2 linked regions of the Caenorhabditis elegans genome follow. The protein of the gene in region 2 interacts with the protein of the main gene of each other region in a pairwise test. Each region holds a gene or a part of one and is shown on either strand. Other genes may lie near its edges.

Evidence for each region.
Region 1: the proteins of pbs-7 (region 2) and chtb-3 interact in a two-hybrid assay, tested with the Caenorhabditis elegans proteins (2 studies listed by BioGRID).

The regions. Positions count from the first base shown.
Region 1 is NC_003284.9:6,311,390-6,323,500, reverse strand, and holds chtb-3 (EB domain-containing protein), read left to right. Parts: upstream 1-3,854; 5' UTR 3,855-3,947; coding exon 3,948-4,011; intron 4,012-4,739; coding exon 4,740-4,968; intron 4,969-5,462; coding exon 5,463-5,521; intron 5,522-5,569; coding exon 5,570-5,859; intron 5,860-5,914; coding exon 5,915-5,978; intron 5,979-6,025; coding exon 6,026-6,082; intron 6,083-6,137; coding exon 6,138-6,212; intron 6,213-6,552; coding exon 6,553-6,800; intron 6,801-6,855; coding exon 6,856-7,509; intron 7,510-7,626; coding exon 7,627-7,735; intron 7,736-7,781; coding exon 7,782-7,892; intron 7,893-7,939; coding exon 7,940-8,347; intron 8,348-8,394; coding exon 8,395-8,503; intron 8,504-8,548; coding exon 8,549-8,694; intron 8,695-8,740; coding exon 8,741-8,868; 3' UTR 8,869-8,972; downstream 8,973-12,111. Other genes in the region: col-167 (Nematode cuticle collagen N-terminal domain-containing protein), read right to left, coding at 1-13; npr-38 (G-protein coupled receptors family 1 profile domain-containing protein), read right to left, coding at 9,804-9,870, 10,055-10,156, 10,203-10,319, 10,428-10,544, 10,597-10,718, 10,770-10,910, 10,956-11,082, 11,130-11,198 and 3 more.
Region 2 is NC_003279.8:8,692,762-8,700,725, reverse strand, and holds pbs-7 (Proteasome subunit beta), read left to right. Parts: upstream 1-4,424; 5' UTR 4,425-4,433; coding exon 4,434-4,465; intron 4,466-4,511; coding exon 4,512-4,617; intron 4,618-4,668; coding exon 4,669-4,847; intron 4,848-4,892; coding exon 4,893-5,004; intron 5,005-5,081; coding exon 5,082-5,363; 3' UTR 5,364-5,521; downstream 5,522-7,964. Other genes in the region: tlf-1 (TATA box-binding protein-like 1), read left to right, coding at 227-463, 511-606, 653-931, 1,842-2,158, 2,211-2,277, 2,354-2,410; F39H11.1 (Craniofacial development protein 1), read right to left, coding at 3,226-3,360, 3,410-3,572, 3,648-3,692, 3,740-3,972, 4,021-4,119; K07A12.5 (Pre-mRNA-splicing factor SYF2), read left to right, coding at 5,582-5,603, 5,647-5,788, 5,841-5,952, 6,068-6,205, 6,252-6,370, 6,417-6,511, 6,556-6,673, 6,722-7,024 and 1 more; asg-1 (putative ATP synthase subunit g 1, mitochondrial), read right to left, coding at 7,336-7,506, 7,554-7,778.

The sequences.
Region 1 (12,111 bases), on a different chromosome or scaffold from region 2:
TGATATCAGACATCTGGAACGAAAAGTCAGTCTCAGAAAAGAAATATCGTATCTTATCAAAGCTATTCACTCATTTAGAAAAAAGTCATGGACTAAAAGGGATATATTTTCAAGAAAAGTTATCTCTATCTCTACAGTATGTAAGAAAAGAAGGGAGAGGAAACGCTTACCTTAAATTGATGCAATGAAACACCTACCAAATGCCATTCGTAGGCGTCTTTTATACTTACTGGAGGCGGTGTTTATCGCAAGGTGGGTCGGCATGAAAGTCTTTCAGCTTGTGAAACGCAGACTATCAGAATAAGAAAAGCAGCTATGCCAAGGTCAAGCTCTATCGTTCCCTACTCTCTGTCTTATGCTATATCATTGGATCTGACACTAAAGCTGATAGATTGAGGAAGTTTATTTTTGATTAAGCTAATTATCAATGTTCCTAAAAGTTTTTAAAGTAAAAAATACAGGTGAACTGGAAGTCCTGAAGAGAAAGTGTTTTCTTGCGAGTTTATCCATTTCTACTATGTTTTCTTTCATTTAAAACATGGGAAATACCAGTAACACTATTTCGTGAAAATGTTCCTTTCTGCGCAAACCTGGAAGACGTGCCTAAATTGACCTGAAAATTTGTTACACAAAGCAATATTCATTACAACCATTTTTATGATTCATTCATACACCTCAAATATGCACGATGTAATAATCAATGTTTCCTTGTTTTCAAGACAAGGCGCATCGTCTTTGTTTCATTCTTGTAGAATATTTGTCGACTTTTCTCGACGCCATAATTACCCGTCAACCGCCACACAACCCAACCCAATCCTACGACCACATAAGAATAATGAAGCTGATGTGGCATTGCCACATAAGACGTACAATACAGTCGATAGACAACAAAAAAGTTTATTTTTGACCGGGAAACGACTAAAAGGGGTCTTCCACACTTTTGTTTACCTGGTCATCAAGTTGGGCTTTCAGTTGAACAACAACAAAAAACGACCAATTTTGTTTTGTACACTGACCCCCATGACCGCTGAAAGATAACAGAACTTGTTTTTTCTGGAATTTTATATACCAATCAACATTTGATTAAAGAAAAAACAAATTGCTCTTAGTTCAGTTTTATTGATTCTAAGTTATTTCAGTACATATAAATATATTAGTCGACTTTCAGAATTATGTCACATAGTTTTCCCATTTTTACTGTAAAAAAAATTAGAAACGTTTTATTTGGTATTCAAGATAAACTTTTTTAGCTTTTTGAAACTCAAAATGACACCACAAGATCAATCTTCATAACGAGAATTTTCAACTTTTGATCAAATTTTTTTAATGGTGGTTCAAAATTTTGAGCAAATTTTAAATAGCCTTATTATGAAATTCAGCTTTGAAGAATATTTATTTTCCAAAAAAGAAAAGAGTGTAATGCACAAGTACTTGAATATATTCGGAGATGTAAAAAGTTTGATTTTTTTATCAAAAAAAAGACTGAAATGCATAATCTAAAAATTTTGGGGCAATTCTTTGGTGTCTTTTTGAATATCATAAAAATCAAATTATAATTTTTTTGCAGATCAACTTATGATTTTAGGATATCTTATGGCGGTGATAAGCTGGTGGGTAACAAAACACAATTATCAAATTTGCATTTAATAATTTTCTTCCTTTCTAAGTTTAAGTCTTTACACTACTCAATTTCAATAAGAATTTCAAATAGAATTAATATCGTCCATCGCGGCACATATGTGATGTTATCTTGAAGCACTTTAATGCATTCTTGTTTTTTTTTTGATGTGTAGAAATGACACGATAGGAACTACCGTTTCAGTCCCCGCTAGTAAAGGAAGCTCCGTGAAATTACCTTCTACTATTTCTACGACACAACAACTTCCTATTTCCTTGTTTCTTGTTTTCAAGGTAAGCGATTTTATCAATTAGAGAGATATGCTTTTCCGGCAAGCGTTTTGCGACCTTGGCGCTGACCCTGGAAAAAGGAAAAAGGGAAAAAAAAAACGGCGCCGTCTTGCTCTGAGATTGACATCTAAATGACCAAAGTTAGAAGTTTCCAAAGTTGCAATGATACATAGAATTATAGACTCTAGTTAAAGCTTGATCTTCGATCAGTAAAACTTCAGCCATCCGTAGATGTAACAGAATAAAAACGGTCTTCAGTTTTTTTAATTGGCCGACTATGTCAATGACGCAACAAATCGCAGCTTATCGCCGATAAGAAAGATATATTGAGGAACACCACGTACATATTGCGGACACTTTCTCCTCATCAGCTTCCACAGTTGTTCTTCCTTTCGAGGTTCGTTCTGAACCCTCATCATCAGCCTTAGTATCTCAGCCGCTCCTTCATTAGGTCTACACTTGCCATCACCCACACCGATAGCTGCCCTTGAAAAAACCGGCGTCACCTCAAACCTTGTCTGCGACTCATTATCTTCATCATCTTTTCTCGCTTCAACCCAAGCCCCGGAGGACCGCTTTCTTCTGTTTTTTACATGCGCTGGGAAAGAGAGAAATGAGAAAAAACCCTATCTGTTCGGTTTTTTTCTGTTTCACTTCCTCGAGGAAGTCATTAAAAAATGCCACCAAGGTGGTAGGGATAAATGAAAAAAAAAGAAGCGTAAATAAGGAAATTTGGGTTTTTCGTCGACATTTCAAACATTATCAAAACACCTGTCAGCTATAATTGTATTAATTCCCAAATAAATCGAAATTAGCAAGTCGCCGTAAATGTCGTATTTGGAACGGTATTAAACATTTAATAAGTGACGTAATCTGCTTGTTCCAATCAGCATCAAGAGGAAAAAGTCTACAAAAAACCTTCATCTCACTATGGGAATTAGAACAGTGAAAATTACAAAAATGTCGTGGTATATCATCTGGGAAAAAAGTTTTTTCGGGTAAAACTATCTGCATGAAATGATCAAAAAACACTTGAAAATCCGACAAACACAATAGATCAAGTGGTTGAGAGATGTGCTCCAGCATCGTGTCTATCCGGAAAATCAAAAACGTGCCCTTTCAGTGTTTTCCGCCAGGGCCGTCATAGCAAAGAAGATTATGGCGGCAACATGATGGTCTGAATTGTGCTATTCTTTCATTTGGGTACAATTGTTTTTTGTGCGTTGTGCGTCTATGAAATTGAAACAAAGTGGAAATGAAATGAATGTGCCAAGGAAAAAAGGAATTAAAGAAAGTATTGAAAAGTTGAAAGTTAATCTGCAAAATAAATAATATATGTAGTGCCGAATTTGGAAAATCACATATTTTTTGGCCATACTGAAAAATTGCGATTATTAAGTATGCCGAAACTGATTTTGAACTCAGTGTCTGAGCAACTTTTGTAACTTTTCAATTAAAAGTAATGACATACTAAAAATGTAAAAAAAACACATGTAGTAGCCATATTCCTAAAAAGTTGTTTTATTAAAAAACAAGTATGACCGCTTTACAGTGTGAATTTCGGAAATAGTAAGTTTTTAACCTGTGTTGAACAAGCCTTAAAACATATCTTTATTCTAAAAAAGTTCATAAATTTTTGGATTTGCAGAACCTCAATGGCTCATTCCTTATTACCAGAACCTCCCTTTGCACTCAAATCGGGTTAATGTCGTCATTCATAAATGAATCAAGTAAAACTGTTTGCAGATTCGACATGACTCATACTCCTGTAAATTGTCTAATTTTCACCAACTCCTCATATTTTGCCATGATATTTCCGCATCGCGAGGGGGTCTTCCATGTGCGTCGGCAGAGCGTCTCTGCGGAAACTGGTCTAATGCTCGACGAGCCGATGCCGCCTCATATAAACGGACGTGCTGCGATATACAGTCTCCGGAAATCTAACATAGCGAGTCAAGAAATCCAGACAGTTTGTCTCTATTCATTCCATATTTTAAATTATATATTTTATACTAATTTATTCATAATTTATATATGAGATGGAGTTATATATTTCTATGTTACCATTTTTAACTATTTTGTTACTGCCACACCCTTCACAAGGTAAATTTTTTCGTGATATTTTGATTAATAGTATCAAATCACTGTATCAAATCATATTTATCTAGACACATTGTGTCAAAAGAAGTCAAATAGCATTCTGTTATTATTATATGATTTAAAACACAGATGAGATATTAAACTATAAAATTTTGATAATCTTAAATACCTTAATTGGAGCATATTTCTTTCCTTTAAGTTGAATCTGGACACGAAATTTGTCATTCAAAAAGAGCAGATTTCTCAACAAACAAAAAAGAGTTCGAATTTCTTGATTTCCACCGCGCGGACGGAAAGAAAAAACAAACGAAAACGTTTCAAGTACTTTTTCTCGTCTTTGTAGTCTCCTTCTAGCCTCTCATCATAAAGTTATTCAGGTCAATTACGAGCAAAATTGATTCATGATTTTCAATTAAAGATGAATCCCATCAAACTTCCGCGTTCCAGTTTATCTAGTTCAAGGGCGACAAATAGTAGTAGTACGCACAAAAAACCGTTTCTGTGGTGGCTATCACTTGCAAGATCGGTATCATGTCATTTCTGATTTTAAATCCCAAGGCATTCAAGAACATACTCAAGGTCGGATTCGCTTAGTGGCATCTAGAGGTTCAAAGAACCAAACCCTAAGACAGAAAAATGAGTAAAAGGACAGTGACAAGTGAAACATCACTATAAACTAAAAAACTTATAAACTTAACTTCGAATCGGGCACTCAAATATTTAAATTTTAGGGATCGAAAACTCTCCGTCCGCTGGAAAGGTGTGCATGACAGTTGAACATCTAAGACCTGCGGATAACTCGACACAATTTTACGAGTGTGCGCCACTCAATGAGGATGAAGTAAAAGGATACGCGCTGAGCAAGAAATACCTGGGTGTCTGGAACCTACGAGACTGTCCCAAGGAACACGAGTTTGACGAGCCGAAACAACGATGTATCGAGAAGAAGACATTCAGAAGGTGAGTTTTGAAGAAGGAGTAGGAAACATTTTGTAGATAATTTTACGTAGAGAAAAAATCTGAATTTTTTAGAGTTTCAGCGATTCCCCCAAACTTAATATTCTTTTTTCAAAAGTGGAGTAGGGCCAGTGGTGGTGAAATTGTGAAAAAAAAACTGAGTGGTGAAATTGTGAAAATGTGGTGTACAAATTACCAAATATCACAGTGAAACTGTTTACATAATTTGAAAAAATTATCTATTGACAGTTAAAAGGTGCATACAATGATTGAATATCAGTATGTATATGAAACATAAAGAAACCATTAAATTCAAAAGAAATAACTTTCTAATAGACGATTTCTAAAAAAAGTATCAAAAACTGATTACCACTTTCTGAAACAATATAAAGAATTTCTCATTTTGGCACCAAAAGAGTGGTTTTTAACAATTTCCCCACTGTCGCAGTTTTATATTTAAGTAAACTTCTTCAGAACTCAGAGTAAATATTTTTTAGGCAACAAGTCGCTTGCGCACAAAATGTTCAGGCATCCGGATGTGTCTCTGCTTGTCAAGGTATTTCAAAAATTGATTGAACAGAGTCAAAAAGTCTTCTTTATTCAGCCCCAACCGCAGTTGCTAACCAGGGTATGGAATGTAATTGGCGTTCGTCCCCACTTCAACAAGATCCTGCAAGCAACGCATACTTCTTCCAGTGCGTCCCATCCTCGCCTACTGAAGGATGTGGAGAATGGACACGTATGCAATGCTCCCAATCGACAGTTTTTAATTCTGATTTGAATGTTTGTGTACCACTTGCCATCCAGAACTCATGTGATAGTTCCACCCAACAGCCTGTTTGTAGCTGTTCTCAAGTTTCCAGCTCTTGCCCAGGAACTTCCCAATGTCAAAACGTAGGTTTTGATGTATATTAGGAATTAAAAAACAAATTTTAAAATTTTATTACAGAAAGTTTGTTGCCAACAAACGGATACTCTAAACTTGAACAATTTGATTCAACATCAAGCTCCCCGTAAGTTGAAAGATTGGAAAAATACCTATTTCTTGATCATTTTACAGTCTGCCCCGGTTCAAATGTGCCACCACTTGGTTCATGCAACGAGCAGTGTCCGCAGTGTGAGAAAAAAAAGCTAACAACTAAAACTTCTAAAAAACAATGTAAACATTTCAGACTCTGCTTGTACCCCAGGATTGGGATGCTGCCCAGTTCCAGTGAATGAGCAACCAACAGGAATGATTAAAATTAGTAAGTAAATATAAAAATATTGCTGCGAGCACTATTGACTGTGCACATTGTACACTTTGCGGACCTTGCGGACTTCACTGTCCTGCAAATATAAAAAATTGTATCGATTTCTGGGACTGTATGTTGTATACATTATGTGATACGGTTTCTTGCAATTTCAAATAAATTTCTGTAACCGTGCCCAAAAAATAAGTTTTCCATTTATTTTTATTAAAAATGGTAATTTGATCAAAACATGAGGTTACGTTGCTTAGCCTAAAGTTGTAAAAGAGATCACGGTATTTTTCATCAGTTACAATTTTTTGAATCTTGGGCATCTTTTTCATACGATTTTTTCCAGCTCTCTGCCCTGGCTCTTACTCCCCACCGTTTGGAGTTTGTGGATCTTGCCCATCTGGAACACAATGCAACCAACAACTTCAAATGTGTTGTCCTCTACAACAACAACCATCCACAGATATTGTCTACAATGTTGTACTTCTTTGTCCTGACGGAACACCATCGACAACTTCTTGCTCCAAAGGATGTGGGCCAAACAATGCTTGTTTCCAGGGAGCTTGTTGCCCGATTCGTTGCCCAGTTGGACAGGTGGGCAATTTCTTATTTAAATAAGAAAGTACAAAAGTCAAATATTAAATTTTAGAACGCTGTGGGATTCTGCTCTTCTGGATCTTGCGGAGTTGGAAGTTGTTACTCCAAAACAACATGTTGTCAAGAGCCAATTAAACTCCCGGTGTGCTCGAACGGCATGATTTCTCAAAAACGTTGCCTGGTCGCAGCCGAATGTGGCCTGAACCTTGAGTGTTCAAACGGTGGGTGCTGTCCAATACCGTTCTGTCCAAATGGAGTAACAGCCCGTGGCCGATGTTCTCAAGTGAACGGATGTCCAATGGGGCAAGCTTGTATGGAAGGTCTTTGCTGTCCACTGCCAAAATGCTCCAATGGTATAACATCTCTCGGAATTTGCACAAGAACCTTGGATTGTGGTCGAATCGGTGTTGACTGTAACAACGGAGCATGCTGCCCACTACCAACTTGCCCGAACAATATTGCATCGTCACAAAGATGTTCGGGTGGATGTACGAACTGTTGTCCAGTAGGACAGACATGTATGAACGGTGGTTGCTGCGATCTTCCGTCGTGTCCATCTGGTGGATTTGCAATTTCAATGTGCACTGGGAAATGTGGAACTGGCTTTGAATGTGTGAACAGCGGTTGTTGTTCTCTTCCAAGATGCCCAAGTGGTCTAATGTCGGTTCAGAGGTGTGCAATGGGAATCGGGTGCCCACCAGGAAATGTAAGTTTTGGGTTCAGTTAGTTTATTACGCAGCTTTCAATTTTTTTTACTACTGACGTTCAAAATTTGATAACTACAAAGCACGACTCGACAATCAAACAAACAAATTTTTTGTAGCAATGCGAAAATGGTGTTTGCTGTCCAATGCCAATGTGCTCCAGCGGAAGTATTGCGTCGTCTGTTTGCGGAATGGCTAACTCTTGTCCGATAGGTTACATTTGCGAAGGTTGTTTTTTCTTACTGAAAAAATTAAACAAACATGTTTCTTGCAGGCCGCGGATGCTGCTTGGAGCCACTTCCTTTGTGTCCAAATGGAGGAAGAGCTTCAATGAGATGCTATCGGGGAGCAGAATGCCCACCAGGTTATGGATGCACTCCACTAGGTACTTAAAATGAATTCAAAGAAATTAATCTGAGCATATACTTACAGGAGGTTGTTGTCTTCTCTCAATGGAACCAGTGTGTCCAACCAGATCCAACGCAGTTTGCCAATGCTCACCCAACAATGTTTGTCCGTCAGGCGCGAGCTGTACTATGGGCACGTGTTGTTCGAGCGGAATAAGCCCTATTGTCTCGTTCAGTGTTCCTGGCACAAGTTGCCAGAATTCGAACCAGTGTAATGGATTCCAAAGCACGTGCGCACAATGTGTTCAAGAAGTTTGTTCATGTGTCAATGGGGCAGCGTCGAATGGAGCAACGTGTGAACAAATGGCACCGACAGTTTTGACGTTGGCAAGAAACGGATGTGATCAATATGGTTCTCCATGCAAATTCCTTTTGTCGACAGCACGACGACGCCCACTTTTTGCACCGATTGGCAATATGACTGAAACTCCACGTAAGAATAGTTATACGAGTATATTTTCAAAAGTTCAAAAATTACAGTGTTCTTCAACGTGGCATCCAAAAGAAAATGTGTCGCCAACATTCAAAATTTTGATGCCGACTCAACATGTCTTCCAAACGAAAAATGTATTGACGGAGAATGCAGGATGTAATGCTCTTTAGGAAGGCAATATTTATATGGTTTTTTTTTCAGGAAACTGTGGCCTGGAGAATACGGTTGCCAAACCGACATTGAATGCCAGTCTAGATGCCCGAACACCTACTGCGAAAAGAAGAAGAGTGATAAAAATGTTCCACAATGCCAATGCACGAATGGAATGCTTCTCTATGGAAGATGCTGTTAGTTTCTAAGAACCTGGAAGTTAATGTCTAATTTCTGTTTCAGTCTCCCAGTGTCCACGAGGATTCCACGAGTCTGGAGCATTCTGTATGCACGACGATGAAGACAAATTTTGGATGGATGCTGAATCCCAAGATAATCTGAAAGCTCTTTTAAATGCTGGCAAATGTTGATCTCATGAAACGCCAAAAGCTCCGCTATAAATGTATATATGGACTTATATGAAAATGTATTGATGTTTAATTAATATTAACATGAAATAAAAATATTTATCCGCAATATTATTGTTTTCAAACCTCATATGACACCTGAAAAAAAAACAAAAAAGTCCTAGACCTGGATGCCAGCACAGTAGAGTATACCTACATTTTATTAAATGTTTATTATAATAAATCAACTTTAAAATACGTCTTAAAGATGAAACATGAAACATAGCGGGTAATGCCGGTTTCATCAGTCTGACGCATTTTGGCTTCAAGACGTCAAAGTTAATTTTGAATAGACTTTGACTCTCAAGAAAATCTGAAATCTCTTTTCATTGCTCGTAAACGTTCGTCTCATGAAAACGTAAGTGCTCCGTTATAATTGTGATTATGGAACTGTACAAAAAAGTTTTATTTTTATTTTTTTAAGAAAACAATTAAATGGAAATATAACTTATCAGCAATATGATGTGGTCTTACAAAATAAAACCAAATGGAAAGAAAAGAGAATTAAACATTCGGATACAGTTCAACATCAAAGGTATGTAAAATTTTTAAAAATCCGTATGAACAAAAATATGAAACCAGTTGAAAGAGTGAAAAAGATCGTGTTTCTATATTGAGATAACTATGTCTTAAGTATAGTTTTAGATTTCACGTTCTGTGAAATGTCGGTGAAGTTTAATATTCTATTTAGTTTTAACAATTGAACAAAACGTTAATATATTTGATCATTTAAAAAATCTCAAATCTAATACTATTCCTAAACAAAAGGTGTTGGGAAAATAGTTGTCACACATCTCGCAGTTAACTGATATGTTTAGATCCAATTAAAACAATTTCCGGCCTAATTTCTTAAAGTCTAATGCATTTTTTGAGAAAATGACATAAATGGAACGCCGCATTCAATCGTGAGAACAGTTGTTACTTGAATCGCCAATGATGTTCAGAGGGAGGGATCTGAATCTGAACCTTTGAAATGCTTTAGTGAGATGCTCTTAGAAACAAAGGACCTTACGATAGATGCATGACACGGAGACATGAAATACAAAGAGATGATAGACAAAAACGAACGCTGTGAGGCACGATAATGCAATTGTGAAACACCCTACTGTCATATTCACACTGTGCCTTACATCTACCGATTTTCACTTACCTTGTTCTCGGCTGATTTGCACTATCTTTTCCACTGATTCCATCTTTGTATTTGCACGACAGAAAGCACAACTTCTTTTTCATTTCTTTGCGAAAATGTTTACTGCAACAAAAATAAAATTGAATACCTAGAATACTCTACTCCTTACCTGCTCATGCAAAAAAGTATGAAATTTGCAACTTTGGAGCATGTGACAACGGTTGTGGAAACTTGAACACTTGTGTACATCCATCTTGTTGAGTAAAGAACGTTATGAAACAGGTTGCTGAAATTAGTATACTTTTCTTGTGCTTTTTCAAAAACTTCTAGAAATTAAATTGAAATAATTGCTGTTTTTACTTCCTGAGATCAAAAAATTAAAACAAAAACTTACATGTAAACATATAGGCATGCAGATGGAATATGTGAAACAATGTAGCATGTGACAATTGCTATGACCGTATAAGTTACATGACGTTCGGCTTTGTTCACATGGCGATTCCAAACACCACTGAAAATTGCAAAATTGAATAATACAAATTATGAGTCACTAAGTTTTGCACCTGTTAGAAGAATGATGTCGCACTACTTCCGATCGATCGGTTACGTTGGATAAAAGTGGAGCAGGGACGTCATCGGATCTTGTCGAGTTTCTTGCACTTCTTGTTCGAGCCGGAAAGAAGTGCTAAATATCTTTAAGTTTTTTCTACTGACTTTTTGATGATTTGTTTGTTACCCTAAATCGGTTACGAAGATAATACAGCAAGCAAGTATGAAATGATATTAAAAGAATCATTGGGATCAGAATGTGGAAGATGAACATGAAAACTGTCATTACTTGGATCAAAGTGATTCTGTTATCTTCAATATTTTCCATCTGAAAATTTCATTATAGTTTCAATAATGAAATTATTGTTCTAACCGTTGAATTCGTAAAATTTCCAGAGCCTGCATGGTCATCAAGCAGTTTGAAATTCATATGAAAGCAGCTTGCACCCGTGAAGAAAAGGATTAGTGGAATCGCAACAAGGTTATGTCTTGGGCAAATTCTGAAAAAAAGAACTAGTTCAAGAATAACAACGAAAAACTGAGTTACGTTTGCAGTCGAGCAGAAAATGGAGCCTTTATCGCGTATAGTCGGTCAAATGATACCGTCACAATGAACCTGGAATGTGCTCTTTTAAACTATAAGAATGGAGTTTTATGTTTCAATACCAAGTGCTAGCCGCAGAAAACCAGTTTGCAAGAAAAGCTAGATGATGTTTGTGAACTGCAAACCACATGTGATATTCCGATGCACATTTTCTCTCTGGGTTATCTGAAATGTAAGACGTTATTATAAATGGTAAATCCAAAAAAACTTACCGGGACAGTCGGAAAGAACCATTGACGGCCAACGACTCAACTGATTTGGAACCATACAAATAATGTAGAGGATGTCACTAAAAGCTGCTGCCGCCAGCATTTCATTTGTGCTTAAATGTTTAATAATTGGCATTACATTCTTATTTGTTTATTGAGGTAAAATATTCATTGTTATGGAGTGCAAAACTTTTAGAAAAAAAAAACGTTTTATAAAACTAAGTGAAATTATTGTTTCAGATCTTCTGACTTCTTTTTTTTTTCTTTAAAAAGTTACCAACCTGTTTCTCATTGATCTACTAAGCAAGACAAATAATGTGATAGAATTACCAAAAACACCCAGTATTGCCAAGAATGGGAACATGTACTCACAACTCAATGCGAGTATTCTTTGTATGTCATCGCCTCCCATTCTGAAAAGAATGTTGATAAATTCCCATTTATGAAAGCATATAAGGAAGAGAACTCAGAAATGATGGATCAATTTAATAGCGTGACGTGAGAGAAATATCAGTTTGAAGGAGGAGAAACCTTGAAAAACATGATCTATGAGTAAGTAAGAAACGATAAACTCGTGGTATTGAAAATTCTGGAGAGCAACAGGTGAAAACATTTTGTTCATTCGATTCGAAAATCTATGGTTAAGTGAAAATGATTTTCAAGTTGTGCTTGGAAAAATCAAGAAGTAGCAAAACCTTGAACTAATACAATTAAGC
Region 2 (7,964 bases):
CTATATATAAAGCGCGTGTCCTTCTGTCCCTATGTAGTTTGATCTCTGATCAGAGCAACGAAATTTTGGGAAACCTTATGCTAAATGCGCAACAGACATCGATCGAGGTCCGCGATAGACACCGTATATCTAATGTGTTTTCTCAAAAAAGTCGGGGGCCGCGCCGTAGGTGCGGTCCACGGCTGGTTCAGATATATTCACCAAAATTAATCAGAGGATATTACAGAATCAACAACAACACCACCAGCAACCACAACATTTTAATCATCCTTCTCAACAAAATCAAATGATTATGCAACATCGTCAACCACAAATGCACCATAATCAGCAACATCAAATGGTTCAACCACAAATGACACGTCATCAGATGGCCCAACACCATGCTCAGCAGCCACATCCGCAGATTTATGTGCCGCGTGACATGAATTTGGCAGTGCCACTGAGAGAACCCTCACCTGAGCCGGTAACAGATGAATGTACATTTTCATGTTTCATATCTACATTTTTCAGATTCCTGTCAAAATTGAGGTTCCAGATGTTCCTCCAGAAGGTACATCGGCTGCCAATGAGGAACCAATGCCAGATGATGGTGATATCGATATTCAGGTACTTTCTAACAGCAATCAATCATCAAAACTTGAAAATATTCCAGATTCGAAATGTTGTTTGTAATTATACACTCCCTTTGCACATTGATCTTCGAAAATTGGCAATGAACACTCATAACGTGACATATGAAAGAGAAAAAGGAGTAATGATGAAACAAAAAAGATCGCCTGGTTGTTATATCAAAGTATATAGTTCTGGAAAAGTATATATTGTTGGTTGCCGGAGTGAGGCGGATTGTAAACGAGCTGCACGTTCAATTGCCAGACATGTTCAGCGAGTTATGGGAAAAACGAAAGAACGAGTTTCGATTAGAAATTATCGAGCAAGTTTTGAAAAGTTTCAATTTATCTATTAAAAAAATTTATCTATTAAAAAAAAAATATTTAAAAAAAGTTCGCCTTCAAGAAGTACAGTAGCTTCCGCCATTTCCGATTTGTTTTTTTTTCTTTTAAAGATGTTTCATTTTTGTTAAAGTTATTACTTGTAAATTTAAATTAAATTGAAGAAAAGTGTAAAAATGTCAGTCGTGCAAACTAGTGTACTAAAATTATTTGACCGTGTATCGTAGTTTCACCAGATTTTTACATGCCTTTTTAAAGGCGCACGGATTTATTCAGAAAGGTCTCGGCACGCAAAATGTTTATGGTAATCTTTCTTTTTTTTTTGAAGTTTGAACATTTGGAGAGGCACCACGGTTTCAAGATCTGGTGGGGTTCCGGATCTACGTTTTGGTGCCAGATCTGGAAAACGTAGAACCGGAATCCACCAGATCTTGAAACCGTGGTGCCCCCATTTGGAAACAGATTTTTTAACAGAATTTTTTTTTAAAGCTGAAAACCGTGCAGTTTCATTGAAAAACGCAAACATTGAAGAAAAAGACTACAATAAACTTTTTGCGCGTCGAGACCCATCTGAAGAAAGTCGTGAGCCTTTAAAGAGCCATTTCAAAATTTGAAAAAAAAAATTACGATACCACGTAGAGTCAGGTTGTCCCATCACGGTGTGATCTACAATAAGTGCGGGTATTTTTGCTCAGAAAAGTGTGACGTCAGCACATTCTTAACCGTGCGACACCAGTTGGAAACTCTACGTCACGTTTCATTTTTTGTAGATCAGACTGTGATGGGACATTCTGACACCACGCGCGATACCGTTTTTGTGTGTTTGTCAATACCATAAAATTTTGCAACTTTAAAATATTTATCTAATTATTAAGTTTATGTGGAATTTAGGTGAACAACGTTCTGGCCACGTGCCGTCTTCCATTCGGAATCAAAATCGAAGAAGTCGCAGCAAAATATCCATCAGAATCCACATATGAGCCTGAACTTTCCGTTGGTCTTGTTTGGAGATCTGTGACACCAAAAGCTACTCTTCGAATTCATACGACTGGCTCAATTACAGTCACTGGAGCTCAATCGGAAGCCGATGTTCTCGAAGTACTCTCAAAGATCTATCCAATTGTTCTAGAATTCCGATGTCTCGAACGAGCCAAAGGAAATGTCGCTGCTCAGAAGAAGAGGAAACGAAAGGCACCTGTTAACAGAGGGTAAAAATTTGTAAAATTCTGGCTTCAATGTAAAAATAAAATAATTTTTTAGACCACCAATCAAACGCGAACGCTTTGATGACAGCAATTATAGAAATTCTGGAGTTATCAATAACCAGGTATGCAAATAAAAAGTGTTTCGGTGGTTTGAAAATAATACAAATTTAATTTTAAAATAACACATTTTTCTTTCAGGTCTATTTCTCTGATGAAGATGAAGATCTGTATGATGAGCTCGATTTAGAAGAATAGTTGTACCTAATTGATGCAGCCTACCCATTCATTGTAATTTTTAAAAAATCTCAATTTGCAATCATTATCTGATTACCTTTCTACATCATCTCGTCATAATTTCTCTAGTTTTAGCTTTCTATCTTCCAGTATATCTTGTTCTTTCAATTGTTCTGTGTGCTTCAAAATTCATGCTTTATCCGCTTTTTTCCTGTTCTTTTCTTTCTCTGTTTGCCGTTACCATCATCAACATCATAAGTCATCATCGAATCAACACAATCTCCTATCCATTTTTTTGTAAAATTAACACAATGATCAGAAAAACAATTCTCGCTTCCTTCTAGCTCTTTCTCTCTCCACATCCCACTATGTGCTCTCTACTTCATGTCTTCATCATGTTCCCCTCAAGCCCAGCAAATCTTAATTTTTCCTTATTTTCCATTATCTATTTTTCCTCATGAATCCCAGTTTTAAAAACAAGTAGCAGATTTTTTTTTGTTCTGAAACAATTCGCAAAAATTCCACAAAAAGTCCTTAAAAACAAACGAGTTCGTATTATAAAACTGTAACCTACCTTTTCCCAAAGTTGTTGTATTTCATTTTAATTATTTTAGAATGTGATTTTTCTACAATTCCCTTTTCATGATTCATCCTTTTTCTAGATTTAGTTATTGTCTCCCTTTACCATTTTTCTCGTTTTTGTCCATTAAATATGTTCATGATTAAATTTCAATGTCCGTATCTTTACAGAAGGTTTATGAATTTTTCAAAGTTACGAATTGTCAAAGAAACCAGAAAATCACAAAAAAGATTCAATTGAAAAAATAAAGAATTATTTACTGTCCAGTGTCCTTACGAGCTGTTGCACGGAACGCTCGTTCTTTTTCAAACTGGCGATTATCAGCTCGGTTTAAGAAGTCCATTTTGTTCAGATAACCGCCTTTCCCTCGGTTATGAGATTCCAAATCTTCCTGAAAAACAAACAATTTATTCAAAAACCTTAAACTTAAAGAAACATACTTTTAAATTATTTTGCGTCGTAAAATCTTTCCAATCTCGATCAGATTTCTCCAAAACAGAAATTTTAGAACGCTTCGACAGTGATTTTGCAGCATCAAGCAAGCCGACTCTTTTCTTTCCGGGTACAATGCTACTTTCAGACGATGTTCCAGCTGTTTCCGTTCTGAAAAAAATTATTAGAAAAATAAGAAAAAGTTGTTTTTAAATTTGTATCAAATAAAAACTCATGTCAACTCACTTTTTCGGATAAACCTTCTGATTTGTAGACTCGTTGGATGCAGATCTGTAAAATACATTTTTAAAAGTTATTTCTACTTGTTTCAAACATACGCTGCTGATTTTGGATACACCCTTTCTTCAGTTTTTGGAATATTCTTGCTTGATGTATCGTTGACAACTGGTTTCGGTGCTAGCCCAGTTAATTCTGCAAATATCGCATCCACATCAACACTTCCTTCAGTACTGTTTGCCTTTTCTGATGTATGGTCGTCACTTTGTTTTTCATTTTTCAGATGTTCAACTTCTTCGTCAATTCCATCTTCGCATTCTTCTTGATCATCGATCTGTTGAGGAGAATGAGCAATAAAAGGGCGATATCTAGGAATGCTTACTTCATCCTTTGGATCAAAATCGGTATCCTTTGTTGGATCGTAATCTTCATCGGACGATGAGTTGTAGTCTTCTTCGTTATTTTTAAGCTCCGAGGTCATTTTTCTGAAACAATTTATATTTTAAATAGTTTCACAATTTCAGTGAGAATTCAAAAGAATAAAATATGAATTAATATATTTATAAAATATGAATTAATTTATATTATAATATTATCTCAAAAAAAGTAGCGCGAGATAATTTTTCTTATTGAAGTACGCAATTGTGCGTGGTATTCAGTGTAAAATTCGACGGAGCGCACATGCTTTATGATGACTTAGCCGCCATTTTTGCATTTCATTGTCGAAATTCACTTCCTTTCATTTTTTCAAAGCACTCCCTTCAAAAACTTCATTTATATTGTTTCAGAACCAAAATGAATGCTCACGACGAAGTCCAGCGCACACTGTAAGTCATTAAACCTATATTCGTTTGAATTAACTCAATTTTTCAGGAATCCTACTTGTACCGGAACATCGGTTATCGCTCTCCAGTATAAAACTGGGGTTGTTGTCCTTACTGATCGAGTTGTTTCCTATGGAAAAATGGCTCGTTACAAGGTTTGAATTTCCGTTCAGCTGAAAGTGGATTTTCATAATATTTGTTTCCAGAATGTTTCTCGTCAATACAAGGTCAATGATAATGTTCTCATTGCCTTCGGAGGAGATCACGCTGACTTCCACTGGCTTCAAAATGTGATCGAGCGTCAGGTTCTTCTCTGGAAGCGCTTCGATCAGGATATTGGACCAAAAGCTCTCCACGGATACCTCACAAGCCTTCTCTACGCCAAGTCTGTTTTCCTAATTAAATTGAAAGTTTAAGTAAAAAATTTCAGACGTTGCAAGATGAACCCAGTGTGGAACACACTTGTTGTCGCCGGAGTCGAAGAGGAGGAGAAGAACAACAAGGAGACTAGCACACCTTTCATCGGTGTCATTACTCAGAAGGTAAACTTGAAAGCGTTAACTTGCCGGATCAGAATCTCATGATTAAATAATCACATAATAATTATTCTAAATTTCAGGGATGCGCATATCAAGTGAAGCACATTGCAACTGGACTTGGAGCGTTCCTCCTCAACCAAGCTGTTGAAGATGAGTGGAGAAAGAAGGGAGAAGACCTCTCCCGTGAAGAGGCAGAAGCCGTGCTTCGCAAATCGCTTGAACTTACTCTCTACCACGACTGCGTCGCTGACAATGAGTTCGAAATCGGACGTGTTGATGCGACAGAAGGTGTCGTTTTGGGTAAAGAAGAGAAGATTATTGGTGACTGGTCGATTGCCGAGACTAACTGTCAATATGAATAAGTTTTCCCCGGTGTGCAGGATGCGTTTCAGTATCTCCATGTTTAACTTATTTGTATCCTTCTTTTCAAAACATTTTACTCTCTCCAACCCACGTTTTCGGTGTAAATTTTATTTATTTTCGCGTGAAGTCGATAAATAAACTTCCATTTAATCCTTCTATTCACGTCTAAGTATTCACACGCATCATTTCACAAGTGCTCGAGTCAAAAATAGCGAGCATGAATTTCTCTGGTTTAAAAAGTATGATGAGTTTTTGGTTTAAAGTAAAATCGAGCGCTTTCAGGTAAACTCCAAAAGCTCAGTTTATCACCATCGCCTGATAAACAGAAATCTGATTATGAAAAGAAACAGGCGAAGAAGATGAGCTACAAAAAGAAGATGCAGCAGCGGTATAAACTGAGTGATGATCAGTATGAAACTCACAAGTAATTAAATAAATTGATGTATATGTAATAACTTATCTGATTTGGTTTCCAGGAAGGATGCTCAGAAACAACTGAAAAATTGGGAAGAATTTCGAAAGGAGCAAGTAGTTGAAATCTTTCATACGCAGTCTCAATACGTTTCGAAATCGAAAAATTCAGACGTGGTAAGCATACAGTATATATATATATATATCTCGCCGCGCAAAGGAAGTGCTTAATTACGGTTTTTACTATCCATCTAAAAAGTTAAAAAGAAATACATTATTTCTTGAAATTCAGCGCCATCCAAAGATGCAACGAGCCAATACGGTTGTCAATCGTCAAGGAGTGAAAGTTGATGTAGAATTTGGACGATTGAAAGAATACTACTTATCCACTTTGGCTCCACAAAAAAAGTTTGTGTCGATTCGTGATCACGTAACATAGAGATTATAGAGAAATTTACTTTAACCATGAACTTTAGGCAGCTCGTGAAAAGGAACTGGACGCTCTTCGTAAGAAACAGAAAATCAGTTTGGAGCAAAGGAAAGATAAACAGGACAACATAAAAAAGTCCCAAGCAGAGTACGATCAGATGAAAAGGTTTCAATGGGTCGAATGGTTTTATGTAGAAATTATCATATTTTAGCTTATACGCTGCCCCTGTCGATCCCAAGCAAACAAAAGTGGAAACAATGGAGCAAAAAGAAGTTTTAGAGCCAACAGCCCCGATGGAGAAATTCGGTAAAACTACGAAACAATACAGAAATCGGAGTGTTTATTTTCAGTTGTGAATACCACTGACGACAAAAGAGCCCTGTTCCCAGCCAGTTGGTATCAACAACCGATTTCCCGTTCGCAATTGAAGAAAGGAAAGATGATTTATTGGATGGCAAAAGACGAAGAGTAATTTTCGTGGCTTGCATCCGTTGGATCTTAATATTTGAATTTCAGAGAGGATATGACGTTGGACGATGATCCAGAGGGAAAGTACACGGTTACTGCTGAAAAGTTGATTGAGACAATGACTGCTGGGGGGAAAGTTAAACATGCTGGAATAACAGAACCACCTAGCAACACAGCAAACACCATCATGTCCGAGTCCTTGGCATCAATTAATGCGAGATACAAGAAGAGTTGTGAAAGAAATGCTGTTTTCATGAATACCTTGCACGGTACTATTGAATTCAACAAGAAACAAGTATCTGTAGATAAAACCCTCTCTACAAGTTCAATAAGCCAGGATGATGCGACCGAGTAAGAATTTCGAAACTGATTTTTCTCTAACGAGTTTTATTTTTAGCGCTCCGAATCAAATCATTTTTGCTCCAACAATCACTTCTCATGTTTTCAAAGGCCGATCTCTGAAAAGACAGTATGCAGTGAAAAATAAGGCACTTGAAACTTTTGAGGAAGATCGGAAGGATTACACTCGAGAGGCTGGAGAAGAAACTAGTGGATTGTAATTTTTTGTATTGAACTAGAAAAATAAAGCCTTAATTTCTTTTATCTAACAAACGTTGAAGAAAAAACACATATTTTCACAAATGAATATGCTTATCGATGTATTAAGCTTCGAGGGCAGCGAGTCTCTTCTTTTCGGCAACCTTAGCCTTTGTATCCTTCGAGACATAATTGGCTGGAACAATGTACCCGAAAATGTAGCGACGTCCAATCATTTCTCCGACAAAGAACCAAAAGACTACCTCGAGGGCAACTGCCGAGTAGACGAGACTTTCCTGAAGTTATTTTTTATTGAGTGTTGTTTCAGCGTGTAACAAATTACCTTGATACTAAGGTTGACATATTGCTTGGTCTCAATAAACTTCTGGAGCTTAGCCCAGTCCGCCTTGATAGCTGGGATGTCAGCAGACCGGGGTGGAGCCAGCTCGTGCTTTCCAACAGCCTTGAGAATAGCGAGACGGCGTGGGAACTGCTGAGCTTGATGACGGTAAAGAGCTCCAAAGGTGTTGGCCAACTTTTCGAAGAAGCTCAGCTTGTGGGTCGCCATCGCTGAAAATTTCGAGTGTGAATGAGAGAATGTGTTTCGAAATTAATAAGGCAATAAAATTGGGAGACGAGGGAATCAATTATTGAATAGATCATTAAAATTTATTTGTTCCTTAAATGAAACTTAATAGAAAGGGAATAATGTTGCCCATGAGTGCTCATTCATTAAAAAAATCCCCCAAAATAC